Linked DNA regions of Mytilus edulis. The protein of the gene in region 1 purifies or fractionates together with the protein of each later gene. This does not show direct contact. Links are inferred from orthologs where the notes say so. Each region holds a gene or a part of one and is shown in the gene's direction. Other genes may lie near its edges. The genes, in order: dual specificity mitogen-activated protein kinase kinase 5-like and hsp90 co-chaperone Cdc37-like.

Region 1 (11,952 bases):
CACCTAAAAAAATTGAGCTTAATGCACAATTCAATTCCTATAAAGAGTTTTTATTGGTTATAGAAAATTATGAAAAGGAACATTTCGTTCAGCTGTGGAAAAGGGATGCACATACCATCAAAACCATGAAATGTCGAGCACCAAACAGAAGCATCAATTGAGAATTAGTATAAGGTAATTGAAATTATGCTATGTACATGGAGGAAAAGATCACAAGAGTGCATCCCGCTCTGGTAAATGTATGATTTTAAGGTAATCAGTTGGCAACCATATAAGTAAAATATATATAGGATAAAAGATTTGAAACCGTGAGAGTATAGATGATACTATGAGTTGATCGATTGTTGATAACTTAATGTCCAGTGGCAAATATTTCATGCATGTTCAGGACGATGATAATATGGATATTATTAGAATAAAAGCAGGGAGGCAAAGTAAACCATATAAGGGAGCTACCATTTAATTTTTATGGGGGGGCTGGGATGAAATTTGAAAAGAATAGGCAGGACAGGAGTTTTGAGTAAAAAAAAAAGGCAGGATGAGACACTTGCAAAAAAAAAAGTCAGGACGACAATTTAGAATCATTTAGGTAAAAAAAAGTCAGGATAAACTAAAAAAAAAAGGCAGGACTGAACAGAGTGAAAAATAAAAAGGCAGGACAGAGATTATAGCTAAATAAAAAATGCAGGACAACATTTTTCATCCTAGCCCCCCCCCCCATAAAATTCAAATGGTAGCTCCCTAAGAAAAAATAACAGACAATGAAAACAAGAATGACACATACAGCTTTAAAGATCAGGCAACATGATTATAACAATGTATCAAAACTAACTGTTTTTCTAAAATTGTTTTTTTTTTTTTTTTTAAGCAGGCCACATTTAGGCAAAGCTGTCCTTTCTTCATACAACTACGAACGGCAAGTGTCAGATGGGAATAAGCTGAGGATAACAAATATGTGTTTAGAACATCATCATGTTAAGATGCATTATTATAAAGTTATAAATTATTTGATATAATGAACATCTTCAATATTTTATTTTTTATTTGCACTGTATTTTTAATGCTTGATAAAATGATTTAAAATTATTATTAAGCTTTTGTAATCTCTACTAATCACATCAATGAACAGTTTTATTCAGTGCCGGCAAAATATCAATTTGCTATTTTGCCAGTGCTGGTCAAATAGCAAATTTGCTATTTAGCCGGTGCCGGTCAAATAGCCACTGCCATATCTTTTTTTAACAAGAGTGCACAAACTAAAATTTCTAGCCTTTTACTAACCATTGATAGTATGTTGATAGTCCTAAATATAAAGCTTTATTACAACTATCACTTGACAAGATCCAAGAAAATCTTTCTTGGTTTTTGATGGGCATTTTTTTCCTTTCTGCAGAAGGTGTAAAAATAAACAAACACCTGAATTACTTTGATACTGTCCACTCACTGACTCGGATAAACTCTTTAGTCACCTATAGTTATGAAGATACCTCTTGTCCAAGTCAATTAAGGACAATCAAAACAATACAAACCGGTTTTTACCTGAGGGGCTCATCTCAAAGTTGTACCAAGACCAAGGATTTGTATAGTAAGATCTAACTATTCAAATCCTTGCCACAACTTAGTTAATTTTCACACCTTATGCATGAAGAAAAAAAAGCCCAACAAAATCAAAAAGAGATTTTATCTTTCTGAAACACAAAATGCATTAAACTTTTAATATATCTAGTGGACGCTAGGCATTAAAACATTTCCAACTTCATATGCAAGTCTGTACTCGGAGTAGTTTTTGACATGTAAATACAGCCATATTTGTCCGTTTGTTATGATGAACCTTAAATATCGTCAAAAGAACTACTTAACATTCCGTTGAGAAAAAAACATTATACAATATATATTGTCCTTGAAAGACGAAAGTTTCTTAAAATACAATTATACGTGGACAACTTTTTCTGGGAATTTTTTGTCCGGCGAACAATATTTAATACAGCGACACGGGTCATTTTTCAATGTTGCATAAACAAAGAAAATTATGATCAATTATATAGCAAATAGTTAAAAGATTACAATTTTAACAACTGGTTATTTGCACTTATCAAAGAATTACCTAAATTCAAAATATTTCATTTGCACCATTTCCAATTTGTATATACCCCTTTTGTCATTGAATCTTTTCATCAAGTTGTATCTTTTACATTATATTTTTTTGGCAAACGTGGATATATTAACACAAAAAGAATTTTGTAGAACCATGGAAGTTATTTAAGTTTGACAATAATTTTACAATTTCTGTATTTGTTTTACTTACTCAAACAAGTCTGATCTTACTGCGACGAAGATGTTTAGAATCGCACGGACTTAGAAAAGGCGCGAAATCAAGTGCACCTAAGTAAGCCAATCAAAACGGTTCAATGTTTGACAGGCACGGTTTCAAATTAACTGTAAATCTATGGGAGCAACCATTTAACTTCAGGGGGTATTTTTTATGAGTCCCAAATCTTTTTTACGTGCAAAGCGCAAACATTTTTATTTAGTTTTTCGACGGCACGCTTCCAATCAATTATATTTTTCAAAAGTTTAAAACACTATTTATAAGGTAACGGAAAAATCTGAATTCAGAATATTTTTTTAATTAAGTACCCGAAAACAAGTTTTGCAATAGTATTATTGTATTCGTGAAATATGCGAAATTATCAAGTTTCGAAACACTTTTATTACTGTATACATAAAGTAGTAAGTTATTCAGAGTTGGACGTCACTGTTGTAAGCCAGATGAAACTCTATGTTTGCTCTCTCCTTGTGCCTTTATTTGGTGAATAAAGATATTTTATTCTGTGCTATAGTTCTAAAAAATAGACATTACTACTTGAGGTATTATTTGCTTTCGTAAGAATTCAGTATGAGCAATTATAGGCGTTTGGTGCCAAATTTGTAAAATTGCACCTAAAAAAATCCGGAACAGACTGTCAATGCAAACATACAGCTTTATTTATGATGACAATTTAAGGTTACTAATAACTGATTGATTGTTCAATGTTTAATATGCATTCATTTTCCGGTTTAAAATCGACCATATTTTAACTGGGAAGAGCACTTCGGACCTTTTGTGACAGGGATGAGCATCTGATACATCCAGTACCCCTACTTTCTTTTATTTATTTAGAAAATAAAGAAAATAAAAGTCTGTCAATATAAAATCTTCATTATCAACTAATATTATGGAATTAAATTTACATGTATTATTCTCTACTCTTTGGTGGGGTTGTTGTTTCAATCATTGGCACATTTCAGTATTAATGTCAAAAGAAGGGGGGGGGGGATTTTGATATCTTAGTTAAAAAAAAATTGACACATCTGAAATAATTTTGATCTTTCAAAAGTTTCCATTTTCAGTAATTAGATAACTTAGTTAAAATGTTGATAGAGATGGCCAATTGATGTACCTATTGTTTAAGTATCAGAGCTATTTTTCTATGTGTACAATATTTTTGGAAATTTCTGTTAACTATATATATGAACCATTACACCTTATCTACTTTATGCAAGCAGTTATTTGTCAGCTCACTAAATGGTATAATAGTATCAACTTTTTGCCGAATTAATGATTCATATATGTTAACATAAAAAATAAAGAAATGTGGTATAATTCCAATGAGACAGCTACCCACTAGGGACCAGAGACGAGAGTGTAAACAACTATAGGTAAAAGACGTACTGTGACCTATAGTTGTTATTTTCTGTGCCAATTGGTCTCTTGTAGGGATATGTCCCATGAGCAATCATACCACATCTTCTTTTTTATATAGGGAACTGTACAGTCTTTACAATGAGTAAAACCAATGCTGTATGGTAAACTACCGTGAGCCTCGAGATAACAAAATTTGAAATACTTCAAACGAAAAACACAACGCCCTATATTATCATAAAACAATTGGCACACGGCAAACAAATAAGAAAGACAGAAATTAACAACAGCAAATGACAGGCTCCTGACTTGGGACAGGGACAAAAGGAATAACAGGTTTGTGAAGGCTTAACCCTCTCTAAAACTGGTACAGTGGTGACACAGCACAATATGAACAAACTATGAAATTTTGTTGGAAAAAGGCTTTACTCATCAGATTGGCATTAATGTCGTTAATCACACACACAAAATAATTAAAAGGGAAAATACTCAAAATTACTAAAGCTAGTTCAAAACCAATTTCAATTAATGGATAACTTATGTTCTCTGCTGTCGATATGTAAGGTGATTCGTTTGACCTTCTTCTGTTTCTCTCTCAAGCCCAGCAATCAATCGCCAAATCTCTTTTGCCGTAAAAAATGAATTCGAAGAAATGAACAGTTCAAGTAATCTTATACTATTATTGTTTTTACTGATTTCACCATTATTATACATTGATTCCTGTACTATAGCTATTTTATTTATATTATACATATGCTTATATAACTGAATTATGATGGATCATTGTCATTCCTCTCCCCCGAGAGACCTTTAAGGCTTAGTACACATATAACACTGCTGTATTACATTGCATACTTATATTATGTATATGCATGTACGCATGATATATGCATTTGTAGTCTTTTTAAGGCCAGTCAGGTCATAAAGAAAAGATAAACTGTTGTAATGACTTTAAGATCGAGAAATTGAAAACAGCTGGCAAAAGTCCGCACATATAATTACTTTAAATATACTTTCAAATATGAGTAATATGAGTATTTCAAATATAAAAAAGACAGGGGAAAAAAATTAAGTTAGAGTTAAGAAATTGAGTTGTCCCTCTTTGTACTGGTTATGGACCTGTTAACCTCTGTGTATTAATTCTGAAAAAAAAAAATAGTTTTCAATGTTTGTTATTAATCTAATCAGTATATATATTAGGTTGCATGTGATGTATGTCTGTATATTGTATGATTTATTATTTTTATTTATTGATTTATATTCTCTAAATAAGAAAAACAGAATGTTGATTTGATTTCTGATTTGATTTAACATGGTCCGGCCAATCAAGTTATTATAAGCGGTGACTCAGTCACCCTTTAAGCCTGCCAGTAATATATGGGAAGACTTATGATATTTTAAGGTAGCATTAAACCAACCGGGAGACAATGTGGTTTTATAGACATCTAAATGATCCTAAATGACTGTATCAATGAATATGACAATAAACCAACGCAGGCGTCCCACTCATGGCTTGAAGGAATATATATGCGATGGGGTTGTACGCGAATTGCGTAATCCTCTCTAAATCTTAATTGTGGTATTGCATGATTATCTTTAAAGTATACTCGCCTCTAAAAATTTATATACCTACAACCTCTTACATTATTAGTACCGGCTTCTTTAGAAACTACATTTAAGTCTTGAATAACCGCATAGTCATGACAGAACTCTCTCTTACTTTTAACAGTTTATTATTTAATCCTTTTTGCCGATAAGTTGTGGATATATATATATATATATATATATTGCACATGTATTTTATTAACAATATATAAAAATAGTTCTCCATTTTGAACACTCAAAAAGAATAAAGTTAAGGACCGATGCCTTCTATTGATCTTATAACTATTTGGACCACGAAAACTGTATGATCTACACAAAAACATACGTGGAATTTATCCCAGAGGATTTGTATAGTAAGACTGGTATCAACGAGGACTATGAGAGAATCTTATCGTGTCTTCTTCGTAACAGTTTACTAGTGATATTGATCTCTGTACTTCCTACTGATTTCAGTAAAGCAACATTATAGACCGCTCGGAAACAGCCTGGCAGCATGAACTCTAATGCTCATCTGTCGTGAATGTTGTTTCTACTCCTCTTGTTGACACCCTACGTATCAGTTACTTCAGAATGATAACATACAACGCTGAAAATTCATAAGACAAAATGATTTTTTTTATTGGTTTCAAATCAAGAATTATTACAAAAATTTCACAATAATTTACATATACATATACACACATATCCATATAGATTTGTTAACATTTATATATGTATATACATATACCATGGACTCTCCATGATTAGAAATGCATTGCTATAATATTTGTAAAATCTAGTCTCTGCTTAGGAGTTGCGTACCACAAAATTATGTCATTTATTATTCAACTATGTTATACAATGCAGCCATATGTATGTCACTGAATAAATCTACCACTTGACCGAATGGAAAGTTCAAAATAAAAATCATGGTGAAACACAATCTATTCTCCATATCAGCTGGGACTAGTATAATAGTTCCAGATATATATAAGAGTATAACAAAATCGGAGTTCTCAGTATGTTTTATAATTAGATTCAGGGGTGGGGGTTGGCAAAAACATTTTTTCATGACAAATGACAGACATGACATGTTTAGAAACAACACATATAGGAGGTACATTGAGCCTTTAAATGCAAGATTTTATAATTATTAATAATAATACATAAAATTAGCAAATGTAATGTCTTTTCGCGGACAGACTTGTGAACAGTCTGGATTTAAACATTTTATTCTGATTAAAAATAATTTTCAACCTTGTACTATGTGATATTGCTCTTTTTAAATATTTTTATTAATTTAGAAGCGTTATTTTAAACGTGAAAAAAAACACGAAATAAAACAAAAGGATAACATCGGCTCTCTCGAAACTGTAGGTCACAATTTATAACGTTTCAACTTGTTGCTTATCTCCCTTTAAAAGTGAAATTTTTTGGGAAGTAAACAGAGAAAATGGCTTTGCAGCCAACATTTACTGTTCGAATTCGTACAGAACAAGAACAAGATATGGATTGGATGGTGCAACCTGATCAGATCACATTTAATCAGGCATTAGTGAGAAAATCAATCTTACAAAAAACAACATGATGATAAATTAGGCTCTCAAACTGTAGTTATACCATTGTTTACAATGCTTTTCTTTGTAAATATCACACTGATTTACCAAATAACACTTTGAATTTTGAGAATCTATATATAAATATATATCTTTTTATTTGTTGATGAGAATAACGGTATACATGTGTATATACAATGATATAGAGAAAAAAATATTTTATATCACAAGCTGAAGCAAGTGAAGGATGCAAATATTGTACAAGGACATTTAAGGTGTGCTAATTTAACTATAATGACATCCAACAATAAATATTTTGATATATGTCAATAGTTTGATAATGACAACAACTGAGAAATATTTTAACCAGTAATACATATAATTGCAGAGAAACTGACATGACCTCCCTTTCCAAATATTACACCTAATAAATTCTGAGTTTTTGAGGTCTTAAAAATCTATTTTATTTCTTAATGTGTCCTGGCCTAAACTCTGCTGGAAGTTGGTAATCAAACCTCTCGTGCAGTGACACAGATCAAGACTTTTATAAAGGGGCCCAGGGAAGGGGGACTGATTGCCAATAAAGGGGCCCACTCCAGTCTCCAGTCATACGTTGTACTTCAGTTTTTCCCTACTTAATCAACCAAACTTTTCCCCATAAAAAAGAGGGGGGGTAAATATGTCTCTGTCGTGAACAACTATTGACAAGGGGGTTATATCTGAATTCAAGACATCAAGTTAAAAAGCAAAAAAGAAGGGAACTCTTTCCTAATGTCTAATATACAAGGTAATTACAGTTTTAATCTGATTTTTGATTTTGAGTCTTTAATAAATAAAAAAAAGATTGCATACATTTTTTAGTGGAAGAAGACGTCAAGTCTTCTGAAGACTTAAGGGGCCGACCATTGGCTTTGAGTCTCCGTATGCCGCATTCATTTCGTGTATTACAATTTCAAGACAACTTAGATTCCTGACACCGATTTTTACACATGATTGGGCATCTGAATCATTTAATTTGTAAATTATGATTGTAAAACAATCACTATCGTAAATATGACCCTTTTATTTATGTAAATTATTAGATTTCATCTCATCCACATGAACGTAATTTGTTTACTTGTAACAGGATGTTTTAACTGTAGATATTTGTATTACGCATGCGTGAATTTGGTATCGGTACAACTCGCCCTGTTTACAAGTTCACCCTTGAAGTTACGAATTTGCAATCCTGCAGACAAGAAGATTTTATTTTTATATAAATAAAAAAGATATATAAAGTGTTATCTTTATTCATGGGTTTCCTTTGTCATGTGAATTAGATGCCCTTCGTAACATACATGTGAACCTCCCGTTTAGGAGAAAAAACTCCTGTGTATGAAATTTTTCAGACGCCATATTTGATCATTTCTTACTACTGTACGGGTGTAATTGACACCTGTGTTAAATTTTACCTGAACATCAAAGAAGATGTATAATTATATGGCTTCACTTGACAGCTTGGGTGTCAAACATACTGGTAATCAACGATGTTTACCTCCGGCTAACTGCCGTTGTGTTATCAAAACGATGTGTATTGGGAATATTGAAATACTTTTTTGTTACTTCCCTTTGTTTTATCCTGTTTTCAGTTATTTTGCTTTTAAAAATGTAAATGGTAAAAAGACTATAAATGATTAATATTTTAATCAAATAATCATAAAAGGATGTTAATTAAATGAATTTAAATGATTTTGGACAAATAAAAAAATTAAAATTTATAAATTATTTTATTAATTTAGACCTCCTTTCAAGGATTAAATTGAAGTTTATATATTAAATTTGTTTAGTTAGAAGGCAACATACAATATTTGCAACTAGGCTAATAGTCTAGCTTCTGCTAGCTTCATGTATAATTTTTCTACCGATTTAATATATAACTAGAATTATGCAAACAGACTTAAGGAAAAGGCATGTAAGTCATGTAAGTTCATACAAATATGACACTTTTTCTAGACAATCCAGATCTTGCAAAATACATCGCTAAAAATTGTAACCTTTAATTTTGTTGTTGTGCAGTAAAAACCCATATGGGAACTTTCAAAAGTTGGCAGGTATGTAACAAGTCTTACTATTTTTATGCTCCATTTATGGGCAATATGTTTTCTAGTCTGTCCGTCCGTCCTGCTTCTGGTTATAAAGTTTATGGTCGAGGTAGTTTTTGATGAAGTTGAAATCCAATCAACTTGAAACTTAGTACACATGTGTTCCTCTTGATATGATCTTCTTAATTACTGCCAAATTAAAGATTTTACCTAATTTTCATAGTCAACTGAACATAGAAAATGATTGTACGGATGGGAAATCCATGTACTTATGACCTTTTCTTGTTTGAAGAAAAAAAATACATTTTAACGATAATGGAACAAAGCAGCCTGGGTAAGTGGGGCTGCTTTTATGGTAATTCAAGTTACCTTTTATTCACCTTCTTCCACTTCAGAGCTATCAGCTCTTTGATTAAATGCAGGGGCGGATTTGGGCGGGGCGGATATAGTTCTGGTGGCGGGCGTGCGCCCCCCCCCCCCCCCCCCTAAAATTTGCAAAGCATGGGTTGTCCGCACGTAATAAGTATCCGAAGAGATGACAAAAGCTAGCCTAATGTCGTCGCATTCAATCTGTTTTAACATTCAAACAAGTATTACTATATAAAACAGTAATTTAACAGAATTATTTAACGTGATTACTAATCAACTGACCTATTGTCTAAGTTCTATAAACATGTTACACTTCAAAGGAAGGTGTCAAAAGCGGTACTGCGTTTGATGACAAATATCATAGGCTTTCAGCAGTAAGAATAAAACAATTGTGACATTGTAGTTGCAGTTTTAATAAACAATTTCTTTGATAATCGAAGTTCAAAAACATCCCTACATCACTTTCCCACGAAGAAGGTGGAAGTGCCCTACCCGCTATTTGGGTTATTTCATCATGGCACGACCAGGAAAGCAGTCTAAGTTAGATTCTTTCTTAAGGAAAGATAAAGATTATGGTTCAAGCGAGAGTTTAGTTTGTTAATTTGACTCATTATTTAATATCTCTGTGACAATATATGATTCTCACTTGCAACATATAAAATTTGCCGAAGCATGCATAAACGAAAATAAGCACAATTTTTTAAGGATCTCATTTTGATTTTAGTGGTTAGCGGCCAATTTTTTTTTACAGAATTGAAAAGTCTAGCACGACCTCCGAAAATAGAACAAAAATAAAAACACGTATTATGAATTGACAAATAAATTGTACTAGTAATAATTTTCGTTTTCAAAATCTTACATTGGTCAGATGAAAAATCGTCATTTGCTTTGTCTCACTTTGCGTCTGTCGGTCCGCCTGTCTATCTGTCAACTCTTCACATTATGGTTAATGTAGATTGTCATTAAAATTATGAGGTTTTAGATTGAAACTTTAATTTCTCGCTCATTTTACCACAAATGTTTCTCGCCACACTTCGCTTGGCAAGATATCTATCTACATTGCACCCACTCTAGAAGAATATTTCAATAACTTTGATTATTTTAACCTCAAAAACATTTTTTATTCTGCGCCCACCCTAACGTCTAATCCTGTATCTGCCCCTGAAATGTAAGCAATATTTGGCTTTTTTGTTTTAACTTTTTGTTAGGTTCTATAGGGGATATTATATTTATATACATCAAACAATAATATATAATATGTACAACATTATCTTATTATATTTGACAGGAAGTGATATCAAGAGTGCTACCTCAAGCCACAATAACAGCATTTGAATGTATGTAAATATTTAAGTGTGTTTATTTTTTTCTGCCTATGTTATGATTAATATTAGCATCTATGATTTTGAAATTTTTAGAAAATTAAGAAGAAGTGGTAAGATTGCCAATGAGAATGCTCTCTATCAGAGATCAAAATGTACATGTTTAAATCAGGGAGCAATACAACTGTGAATCCCTTAAATTTTTAGTGGCCAGTTATTGATGAACAATATATTAATTGGGTATGAGTTATGAGAAATAAAAGAATTTCATAACATTACAACAATATTTTCAATTTTAATGTAAAATTGTGTTAAACTCAGAAATTATATGTATTGTGTTGTGTCTTCATTTCAACATATTTTTTCTAATTGTTATTAAAATTAGGTAATAAATTTGTGGACTTTAAGGTGTACATTAACTGCATTGGTTTAACAATGCTTTCTTGTTAGTAGCTATATAGTTCACCTAAATAGGTACTAGTGAACAGAAAAAGCATGTGAAAGTTGTGTAATTACATTGTATATACAGGGAGTAACAACTGAATTATGCAATAAAATGTATTATTTTTTTTCAGATGAAGATGAAGATGGGGACAGAATTACAGTAAGAAGTGATGAAGAGATGAAGTCTATGTTCCAAACCGTAGGTACATCTGATATTCTAAATTGCTTAATATTTATTTAGAAGAACTCACTGCTTATACAAAGATAGAATCAAATCAAAGAGTCAAATTATGTTGATCTTTAACTTCAGTTATTATTCTGATATTAAGAAAATGTAGATAGTAAACATACTCACCCGGATGTTTTTATAATCTATATAGAGTTAAATATAGTTCAGTGACTTAACTGATATTATACTTAGGGCTTACAATGATGTGCAATTAGGATGATAAACGATCTCTTCCTGTCCATCCATTAATTTTTTTAGCTTCTAAAGAGGTCATAGATTTGTAACAGTCACCCATATTGTCAGTGGTTTTTAGTTAGGATGCATTATATTTTAGGGGAGGGGGGATTAAAGACAGGAAATTGTATTTGTTAAAAATCATTTTGTAATGTTTGGTCTGTAAGAAGGATCTTATAAAAAAAAAGAAGATGTGGTATGATTGCCAATGAGACAACTATCCACAAAAGACCAAAATGACACAGACATTAACAACTATAGGTCACCGTACCGCCTTCAACAATGAGCAAATCCCATACCGCATAGTCAGCTATAATAGGCCCCATGAAGACAATATAAAACAATTCAAACGAGAAAACTAATGGCCTTATTTATGTAATAAAATGAACGGAAAACAAATATGTAACATATAAACAAACGACAACCAGGGGCGTAGCTACCCGGAGGCACG
Region 2 (11,442 bases), on another chromosome or scaffold:
ATTTTTATCAACTTGAAGAAACAGAAAATTTCTAACAATATGCACATCTCCATTCAGTGACCCCACATTGCTTTAGTACACTTGTACTACTACAAACAAGCATCTTATGAGCAGTAGTGGATTGTATGTTGGACAGACCACAGACTGACATAATGAAACATCTATATCACCCAAACTTAGTTTAAAGGTATTTAAAACTACTCTGGAGGGATCAAGTGACATTGTATACCCTAGACTTTGTAAGGAGCTAACCATTGATAAGCAGAAACGATAAAACTGTAGACTCAAAGCACAGAATAGGTAGGTTCATATTGAATCTTAAAATTTGAAAGTCAACCTATTGTTATCAATCATTTGTGAATGGTAATAGTTGATCAAAGGTTGATTATGATCAATTAATAAATATATTAAAGCAATAATGAATTAAAATAAAGAACAAAACATCATAACATTTTATTAAAAAGTAAAGTTTGATCATCAGACCAGAGACCAATAAAATAAAAAATACAATTTGTATGAAATGAGAACTTAAATAAATAACAATGCAAGTTATGATTGCAATTAAAATATAACTTATAAGTCATAAAATGTTATAAAAGAAATACTTCAGGAATAATCATACAAATTTAAATTTTAACTGAACATATGTCAATTAATTAATTACGTATGCTGTTATACTGTTGATATCATATAAATAGATATCAGTAATAAATAAACAGCCAAAACTCCCAGAAAGGTCTCAAATTATTATTAAAAATTAAAGGGCAGCTTTTTGTTGAGTCATTGGTCATTTTTTCTCCAATATATCTCATAGATTTTAATTTGATTGCTAAAAACTACAATTTACCATTACACATAATTATGATCTTTTTTACAATGACATCCTTGTTTTTTCACCAAATAAGTTCTGTGCAGAATACCGCAGAAAATATTTTAAAACATTCTAAAGAACATTAATACAAATCAATCTTGAGGTTTTAGCGGAGATTTTTTACAATCATACAATAAAATTAAACAGAAATATAGCTTAAATTGCACATTAATGGCCATTTCTAGTTTGAGATAAATAAATTGAGCTTGATAATTTCTGTACCATTTGTCCTTGCAAAAATAGGGAAAATAAGAACTTAAAACTGTTTTGTGTTATCTAGTTTACATATGTCAAAATAGTTCCTTATGTTTTCCAAATCTTTAGCATAACAAACCAAAAAAAATGCTATAGTATATATAAACAAGAGGCTCTCAAGAGCCTGAATCGCTCACCTTAATTTTTTTGGTTAAATCTCCCATCAATGATTATTTTGGCTTTTCAATTTACTTAAATGTTCTTTGAATTATCCTATTTTCTTCAAAAGCAAAAAAAAATATATTTTCTCCTATGTTCCATTTTAGCCATAGGAGCTATGTTATTTGACATATAAGAAAATAAAATATAAAATTTATTCTAGATACTCTGAAACTCATTTAGCCTAAGTTTGGCTGAAATTGATACAGCAGTTTCAAAGGAGAAGATTTTTAAAAGTAAGTCAACATGATGAACAAATTGTGAAAAAAAGACTTTAAAGGGCAATAACTCCTTAAGGGGTCAATTGACAATTTTGGTCAAATTGACTTATTTGTAGATCTTACTTTGCTGATCATTTTTGCTGTTTACAATTTATCTTTATCTATAATAATATTCAAGATAATGACCAAAAACTGCAAAATTTCCTTAAAATTACCAATTAAGTGGCAGCAACCCAACAATGGGTTGTTTGATTTATCTGAAAATTTCAGGGCTGATAGATCTTGACCTAATGAACATTTTACCCCCCCCCCCCCATGTCAGATTTGCTCTAAATGCTTTCGTTTTTGAGATATAAGCCAAAAACTGCATTTGACCCCTATGTTCTATTTTAAGTAACGGTGGCCATGTTTTTTGACGGATCAAAAATCAAAGCACAAACTTTGTGCAGGATAATCTAAGGAACATTCATGCTAAGTTTCATCCAAATCCATTCAGTAATTTCAGAGGAGAAGATGTTTGAAAAATTGTTAACGACGACAGACGACGGCGACGACGACGGACGCCAAGTGATGAGAAAAGCTCGCATTTCCTTTTAGGAAAGGTGAGCTAAAAAAGGAAATTGTTAATTGTTATCTTATAAAACCTGATCATTAATTGTCAGATTCATTTACAAAAAATACAGAACCATATATCTAAAAGATACAATTAAGATTAAACCACAATACATAATCAAAATCCATCTCTGGGAAACAAATGCTATCTGTAAAACAGTTCTGCGGTTTTAATGAACTTACCCTGCTTTTTAAATCAATTAAAGCTCACTTTTCCAATCGACAACATAATGCTTATATTGAAAAAGAGAACTTTTGACATTGCTGCCAAGTTACATATCTCAGACATTTTGTGAGGACAAAATTATTTCCTTTTTGTTTGTAATTAAAAGATTTCTTGTTTGCCTGATATTTCAATATTATTTTTGGCTTACTAGTAAAACACCCAAGTTTTTTAATACATTTGCAGGAGTCAGTTTCTATGATACCAATATTTCAAGCCATCATCACCTACATTATAATTACAATTTTTTTGGCTGTAACTCAAATCTACATCTACTGCAAAGATAAATATATTAGGCCAGAAACTTAAATAAATAAAGACTCCACGAAATGATGAAGCATTTTTAATCATTTACATAATGAAGGAAGAGCTACTGTCAACCTTTTCATGACCTTTAACTATGAATTGGTGCAAACTGTCTGAACAAAAGTTATCCAAAAATGACAGAACTTCTTCACAGCCATCATTTATACTACCAAGAAAAAAATACAAAAACCAAATCTCATATCATCATACATGTTCATTATGTCTATAATCCTCTTTTAAGGAAAACACTGATTTACATCTTGAATGGCTGTTCTGCATACCGGACAAGGCTGGTCTAATGCCTCAATCTGTGTAGCACATGCCATACAAAATGTATAACCACATGGTATTATAACTGCAGTTTTTGGTCGATCCACACACACTGTACACCTTTGTGAATTATCATCATGCTAAAAGACAAGAAATTATAATATTACATTAATTAACAGTTTGGCATAAAATTGGTAGCTGATATACCTAAAACTAAGGTAAAAAAATTGTGTCTGATTGTCAGATTTTTTATTTTAACAAAGATAATCGATAGAATTTTTAGTTGTTAGTAAGCTTTTAATGGAAGAAAAAAATAAAAATTGGTCAGTCTAAAATGCCCAGGTTAGTTTAGTGATTTTTGAATTAGGATCGTAGTTGAAAACTGTGTGATCAGGAGATTATTACAAAAAAATACACTGTTTATATTTTTTACTGGAAAATAACTATGCTTCCAAATTTGAAAAAAAAACCCGATATATCTCTTCAAACAATTCCAAAATAGCCTGTTCAGAACTTAAACATGTGTGTTAGCTTACCTTCCTGTAAAGTTTTACAGACCTAGGTTGAAAACTATAGAGTTGATTACACAAAACTAATGCAAGATTTTTTTTCACCCATTTTTTTAAACAGGCTTTATAAATGTATGCATATATCTGAAGAAGCAAGAAAATGTGTTTCTGTTACACTTGCTTGGCATATATTTGTCATGAACCCCAATATTAAAACATTAATATACTAGATATGAATACAAATACAAAGAACTGCATGATCATGTAATTGTTAAGCTGAAGCCTTGCAAATTGTTAACACATTCCCCATTTTAATTTTTATACCCCGCTTTTTAAAGTGGAGGTATGTAGTGATGGGAAAGTCCGTCCTTCCCTCTGTCCGTCCTGCACACTATGTTTCATTTTATATCCCCTACTCCTCCTTAACCACTTGTCAGAACGAAATGCCATTGTGCACCTCCTATTTTGTTTTTGTGAAAATCATTTTTGGAGTTTCTATTTGAAAAAACATGGGACTTAGCTATTGCCATGAAAAAGGGGCATCCATGTTGTATCCTTCTAAACCACGGATTATAATTTAATGAAACTTTCCCAGATTTTTTTATGATATAATGCAATTGTGCACCTATTTTGTTTTTGTTTAAAATCATTTTTTGGATTTCCATTTAAAAAACATGGACTTTTCAATTGACAAAACCTTGGGGTATCCATGTTGTATCACCAACTCCTCCTAAATCACTTATTATAATTTAATGAAACTTTCTCAAGATTTTTTATGATATAATGCTATCATGCACCTCCTATTTTGTTTTTGTTCAAGGTTATTTTTTTTAGTTTTTATTTCAAAAACATGGATTTTTACCATTGCCATATAATTGGGATACTCATTTTGTATGAACAACTTCTCCTAAACTGCTAATCATTATTTAATAATTACATTAGATGTATGTTTCATTATAATACTTTATTTTGATTGGCTAACGGCACATCACTTGTTATTCCGTAAACAATTGCATCACTCAATAAAACTTTGCATTCATGATAGCACGTGGTCCCACAATAAAGTACACAGTTGAATAATATACAAAATTTATAAAATTCGTGTTTTCATGATCATAGCTAAAAAATGTAATTATAAGTATTGAATGCTTCTTTTTGTAACTTTATTAGTCACAGGCCTGTTAAAAACTGTAGTTATTTAATTACCTCATCACTGTTACAGTCGGTCTCCATTTTTGCATCCATTCTTGCTCAGAGATCTTCTCGCTATAATTTCGCGCGCAATATGAAAATTATGTTTACTTTGCACTTGTAGACCAACGATATTTGCTTAACAAGTTCACTTGTGTGAAGTTGACTTATTCATAAAAACAATACAAATGAACTTATACTATGTAAGAAAGGCGAGAAACAACACGACAAGTGACCGCAATTAACTCGGAAAGTATACTTTTCTAAAGCAAGAAAGAAACGTTCAATTTAGCAAGTGTACAAACGACAAAGTTTACTAGGACACAATAATATTATGTACACTTTTTGGTCTGTGGTCTTGTTCAGAAGAACTCAACAAGTCAACTTGTAGTAAGTCTACAAGTTTAATTATTAATTAAACAAGTAAACTTGTTTAAGTGTACAAGTTCAGTAACAATGCAACTTTCCCTCTTATTTTTGTCGTCAAGTTGTGTTGACAACTGATCAACTGGTGACTAATATACGTTTCCATAGGAGCAGGATCTGCTTACCATTCCCGGGGGCCGGAGCAACAATATCACCCCCAGTTATTGGTGGGGTTCGTGTTGCTTAGTCTTTATTTTTCTATGTTGTGTCTTCTGTACCGTTATTTTTATGTTTGTCTGTTTATTCTATTATTTTTTAGCCATGGCGTTGTGAGTTTATTTTCAATCATGGCTATGAGTTTGACTGCCCCTCTGGTATCTTTCGTCCCTCTTTTGTAGTAAAGCTTTTTATTTACGACTATCAACATAATACCAATGGTTAGTAAAGAAGGCGAGACATTTCAGGGTGTGCACTCTTGCTATAAGAGAGTGGTAAAGGGTTATTTTCGTGCAACGTTTTCCGCCTTTTTAATTCACGTGTTTTCGTGTTTTAAAGTTTTATTTCTCGTTTTCTCGTGTTTGGCTCGACGTGCGTGCCTCGTGTTCTCCTTTATTTATTTTCCGTGTTTCGTGTCGGTACTCTTAATTTCTCGTGCTTGTCCTGCAATTGATTAAGAGTACGGCCGGGATTAAATTCAAAGCCCCGGTCAGTCTGGAATTTAAATTATGTGTTCCCATGCAGAATATTTAAAATTGCTATAATTAATTATTATGATCTATTATGAATAATATTTTTCTTTCAAATCAGTTGCGACTAGCGGACGCTAAAATGTGACTGTAGGGTCATCATGTCCATCATATATAATGGCTAGATGATCTCCAAGAACGGCTGATTAATAAATTATTTTACTTTTTACATTAATGAGTCATTAATATTTACTATTTTATTTCTCGTGCTTCGTTTTTTCCGATTTTTATTTTCCGTGCAACGTTTTTGCCATTTTTATTTCACGTGTTTCCGTGTTGAGGGCCCCCCTTTACCACCCTCTTATAAATAAGTTGGTTCATATTTACTTGTATACTTTTGATTACAGTAAAAATTGAAGTAGAAACGTTATCATAAATAGTAACATTAGAGTTCACATAACTTTTTTATAAAACTTTCCAAAAAGTAACTTGTTATTTTTTAAATGTCGGAGTACCGCTTGACAGTCTCCCGAGGCTAACAATCTTCCTATCTCGTCCTAGCTTAAAGGAGCCTTTACTACACTCAGGGGCTTTAATAAATAAAGAAACCATTTATTGAAATAAATCCGCAATTTACTTATATCCAGTCCGATAATATTTGCTAATAGAATCGCCATACTCAACAAAAGCTTCCGGTTTTAATTTACGCTGAAAAAAATGACAAAGTGAAGGCCAGATTACCAAAATGTCAACAATTAACTATAGCAAGTGGGATCACATTGAGGTAACATTGTAAATATTTATATGATATACTTGAAAAATTAGAAATTATATCTCAAATAAACAAACAGACATAAATTTCATCTTTTTAGTGGCTCAAAAGTATGCCGGGCATGGCCAAAACAGAAACGACCGAAAGAGACACAAAGCAAAATTCAATAAAATTATTTTAACAATATTTTTTTGTTAATTTGGTTATATTCTACATGCTAAAGCACTCTACACCTACTAGTATATGTAATGCTTTGTAACTGTACTGTTCTGACTTCTTAAAACAAACAGTGGAAAGTTCTAGAAATCCAAACATCCATGATCATGATGATTGAGTATGTTTAATTATGTATGTTTTATTATATATACTGCCTTTCTGATGTAAGAAAGAACATTAAAAAATGAGATGTTGGTTTCACGTTGTGAGTTAATCAGGTCAGGAATAACCACCAACTGGTGGATTATACCTCAATTGACGTATAATCCACCAATTGACATATAATGGTATAGACCAATTGGTGTATAATTCTTTGTTTTTCAAAACAAATTATTCCACCAAAATGGAGCATTGTTTTCTTAAAACCATATTATGGTATGAAAACTTGTCAAACATTTCTAGTTTAGTATAGTGACATAACATATTGCATTTAATCAATAATTGTATTTGAAGTTTCTTCTATTGTTATCTTGTCAATTTTTGATTGGCAAATTTACCTGTAATCACCTGTCAATGGACATCATTACTGTCTGCAGTCATGTGATCATGAGTACAACTCCACAGGTGAATGGAGCTCTTTGTTAATACTTGACTTTCATTATTAAAAGTCAATCATGGTCAATAGTACAAATGTTTCAACAAAAGAATTGTTGTACACATGCATTCTCAAGAAATGCAGCAGGCTTTGACAAAACTGAAACTTTCGGAGGACTCAATAAGGGTCATGAAATAGGTTGCAAGTTGCAAAATCATGCTCCTATCTCACACTAGCATTTAATTACAAAAAACTTGCATTATACATCAATTGGTCTATACCAATATACCTCAATTGGTGGATTATACGTCAATTGAGGTATAATCCACCAATTAGTGGTTATTCCTGACCTGTTAATTTGAATTATTTCAGATCTCTGATGATGAAGACGACACTCATCCAAACATTGACACTCCAAGTCTCTTCAGATGGCGCCACCAGGCACGTGTTGATAGAATGGAACAATCGAAGAAAGAAAAGGAAGATTTAAATAAAGGATTGACAGAGTAGGTTTAAGTTATTGTCACATCTGTCTGAAAAGTCACAGAATCAAGACTTTGGCATGCTTTTGTACATGTTCATCATGTTGTATGCATCAGCAGCATAAAAAATTGTTAAAATCTTTAAGTATTAAACATGTTAAAATTAACATAGGCTAGCTAGACAGACTGGTATATATCTGTGCTAAGAGAGTGCATGTTAAATGTTCAAAAGAGAAATACTTCACTTGTTGCATATTTTATAAATTTATGAAAGAGATGTGGGGTATGTACATAAAATTATTAATTAATGATCCAAAGACTATGTGATTATTATTATTATTAGAAATACATCACATGCATTTTACTAACATCTTAAAAACTATAAAATGGGAGAGGGGGTCAAATGGATTAATATAACCTAAATATCATGTTTGATGAATATTCATTGTTAATTTAAAACTTTAAAAGGGGCACTAGCTGTCAAATGCATGTTCACCGATTTGACTCAAATTGGCATATTTGATTTATAACAATGTACATGTAAAACATTTATCCAAATAATAAAAAGACTAAAAAGAACAATTTACAGGGCATGAGCCCAATAAAATGTAGCTTTGTTTTGTGTGTATTTTATTCTAAACATCTAATTAACTATCGAGTTGACTTTCGAAAACCTCTGATTGTCATATAAGTGATATAAACATTAATATAGATAGAAGGCCAGGATTTTTTAATTTGTTGGTTTACGGATCCGCTGACCCAATTTTGCCGATTTCCTGAATAAAAATAAAATTGACTTTTCTGCTTTTTTTTATTCCCGCCGACCTTAACAAATGCATGATGATCCCTGAAAAATAATTAAAATATAATTTTATTATGAAATAAAATGCATTAATCACTAACAGAATTGATTACACTTTCTGTTGTGAAATGAAACTTCCAGTTTACGTTTCTAAAAATAGACAAATCAATTATTTATGACCTTGAAATGTCTTTTGCGCAAATAATTTTGCGGAACGAAACCTGTGTTTAAAACCAATTACACAATAAGTTCGTTTCCCTTATTTGTCACCATATTTTCGTACTCCGTTATTACATTTTTTTCTTTATCAGTTTTCGTGCTTGAAGATCATTATTCAACAAGTTTTCTGGAATTGATTAAGGTAAGGTTTGCGTACACAGGGAGATAACTCGAATTCAAATAATTGAAAAAAGGAGGGACCCGCCATTTTGAATTGCTATGATTGACCAATGTTTGATAACTACAATATTATCAAAAATAAAACAACACCTACCTCAAAATCGCCGTTTTGATGTAATTTTATCAAAATTTGAATCGTACAAGTAACGTTATGACCTTCAGTCTGTTAGTTTTCATTTATATGACGTCACGTTTAGCCATAACGTCTTTGTGCAAAAACCATTCATGAAGTTTCGCGGAATTTTATTTTATTTCATAATTGTACATTTTGATGCCCCCGCCGTAGTAAAGGGGGTATTAAGTTTTATCCTTGTCTGTTTGTACGTCCATCCGAAAGTACGTACCATAGTGTACGTCTGTTTTTATAAAATTGGTTTCCGTTCTCTAACGTTAGTTAGCATCAACAAACTGATATAAAACTTATGCACAATGCATTTTACCACAAAAACACAGAATAAATTTGAATTTTGATGTCGTCACTTTTACAGTTCTAGATTTATGAGGGGTCGGACAGGGGATACATTTCTCCTTTCTCCCGTCTCCTTTCTCTTGTCTCCCGACGTAAAACCTTAAAAAAATGTATGGGAAGCTCATTTCAATAGAAATCGATCTCCTTTCACAAGATAGAAGTGATGTTTATTCTGCTCCAAGAACGCTGTCTCTTTCATTGAATTTGTAAGTCTGATGCACGCCGTTTCCGTGTATAAAGTATAAATACAATTTATAGAAACGCAGGATTGAGTGAAAAACGTCACATTTTTGTGACACTTTTAGTCAATTTCGTTTAAAATGGTTGGAACTTACATAATGCGCCATATGTTTTACTTACAGAGGATGCATATATATATTCTCAGATATTTTTATTGCATAATTTTTACGAATGACAGAATGTTGAACTTGGTCTTTTCAAATGTTCTGCTAGCAGATTTGTCCCAAAATATGCACACGTTTACATCATTCGAAATATGTGTTATTTTATCAATCATTTTTACAACTGACGGAATGTTTGTTATAGTATTTTTTTATGGATGCATTAGACACAACTATTGTATTGTGTCGTCCTGAACATGCCTGATCTATTTGCCACCGGACATTTTACAACTTCTTATCAAACAAACGTCTATGTATATCAGTCAAATTTGAATCAATTTTATCAAAAAACAAGGATGGTAACATGTGTCTTTACACATGCACGTATGCACTATAAAATCTGGGAAATTGTTAGTTTTTAGTCTTTCACTGTATATAAGAGATCATAATGAAGTAGTGACGACGCTCGGCCTGAGTATTTTTTTAGGTCGTTTCTGAATTTTTCGTTTCTGTTCTCTACCTTTAGTTGCTTCGACCAAATGTTATGCTTTATAATGTTTTATGTTTATACAAAAGGGGGCATCATCAGTGTCCCATGGACACATTCCCCATTTATTCCAAGCTCTGACGTTTTATTTTACATTACTGTGGTTGAAGAGTAGCCACAATCAATTTTGATTTGACGGTTGCAAATTTCCGTTTTACTGGCTCCCCTACGCGTCGACGGTAAAACGGCATTTGCGAACATCAAATCACAAATTGACGGTGGGGACTCCTCAACTACAGTGCCGTTACTCCTGGGAACTTCATTGAAGTGATTTTAATTTATTGAAAGTATGTGGAAGATTTTCATATTACGGGTCTACATAACTACATTTCTTATTTTAAATATGAACAATACATATACGACTGTCATTTGTATTCCCAGGCCATTGTCTGTTTCGTCTTTTATCATGTATAGGAGCATGTAGTTTGTTTGTTTGGTCAAAGACCCAAAATCTGAACATCATGTGTAACAATTGGAAAAATCATACCAGTAATCTATCTTTCTCCTGCAAGGTTTTCCCCTGCTAAGTCATACATATTTGATCATATTTGAATAACATTTGTAGATGTCTAGATTTAAATGAATGGAATAAACATAGCTTCTGTAAATGATTTTACTAGTCAAAACTGATGTCTTTTCATCCATTTCCTCCATACAAACAATTTACCAGACATGGGCAATAAAGCAAGTTTAATTACTTTTAATGGCAATTTGAATGCTTTCTCTAGATTCAAAATATTACAGTTTGAAGCACTGAACGAATATAAGTGTTTCCTCCAAAACCAGTGTCTTGTACATTTTCTACATGTATTAATACACAAGTATGACCAAAGCTAAACACCTCCCCTTCCGACTGATAGGTGGGCATAAAAGTTAAGGGACGACATCAAAAGTTCAATGCAGGATAAAAAAAACTTAATTCACATAGTCTGTTCGCTGACTCCCCTCTAAACTTAATTTGGAAAAAATTGATTGACCAATATGGATATATGTAAAATCCATGTCAAATTAACAAAACTTGCAGCAACTTTTATCCCCCCACCCTTAAACTATTTGAATTAAGTTTTTTTTTATCCTACATTGATCTTTTGATGTCATCCCTAAAATAATCACTGTTTTCTCTCATTGATTATGGTCAATCTCAAAAAGTTACAAGACAATACGATTCTTTGTTAAAAGATGCTTTAAAGATGACTTTCTTCTTTGCAGA

Evidence for each region.
Region 2: the proteins of dual specificity mitogen-activated protein kinase kinase 5-like (region 1) and hsp90 co-chaperone Cdc37-like purify together in Homo sapiens (affinity purification with mass spectrometry; 3 studies listed by BioGRID and IntAct, with this or other methods). This does not show direct contact. The link is inferred for Mytilus edulis from reciprocal best matches to the Homo sapiens genes MAP2K5 and CDC37.

The regions. Positions count from the first base shown.
Region 1 is NC_092347.1:75,249,788-75,261,739, reverse strand, and holds the start of dual specificity mitogen-activated protein kinase kinase 5-like, read left to right. Parts: upstream 1-6,669; 5' UTR 6,670-6,719; coding exon 6,720-6,821; intron 6,822-10,560; coding exon 10,561-10,609; intron 10,610-11,169; coding exon 11,170-11,237; intron 11,238-11,952. UniProt on the Homo sapiens protein: Acts as a scaffold for the formation of a ternary MAP3K2/MAP3K3-MAP3K5-MAPK7 signaling complex.
Region 2 is NC_092353.1:79,346,118-79,357,559, reverse strand, and holds the start of hsp90 co-chaperone Cdc37-like, read left to right. Parts: upstream 1-6,318; 5' UTR 6,319-6,414; coding exon 6,415-6,453; intron 6,454-7,564; coding exon 7,565-7,698; intron 7,699-11,442. UniProt on the Homo sapiens protein: Co-chaperone that binds to numerous kinases and promotes their interaction with the Hsp90 complex, resulting in stabilization and promotion of their activity. Inhibits HSP90AA1 ATPase activity.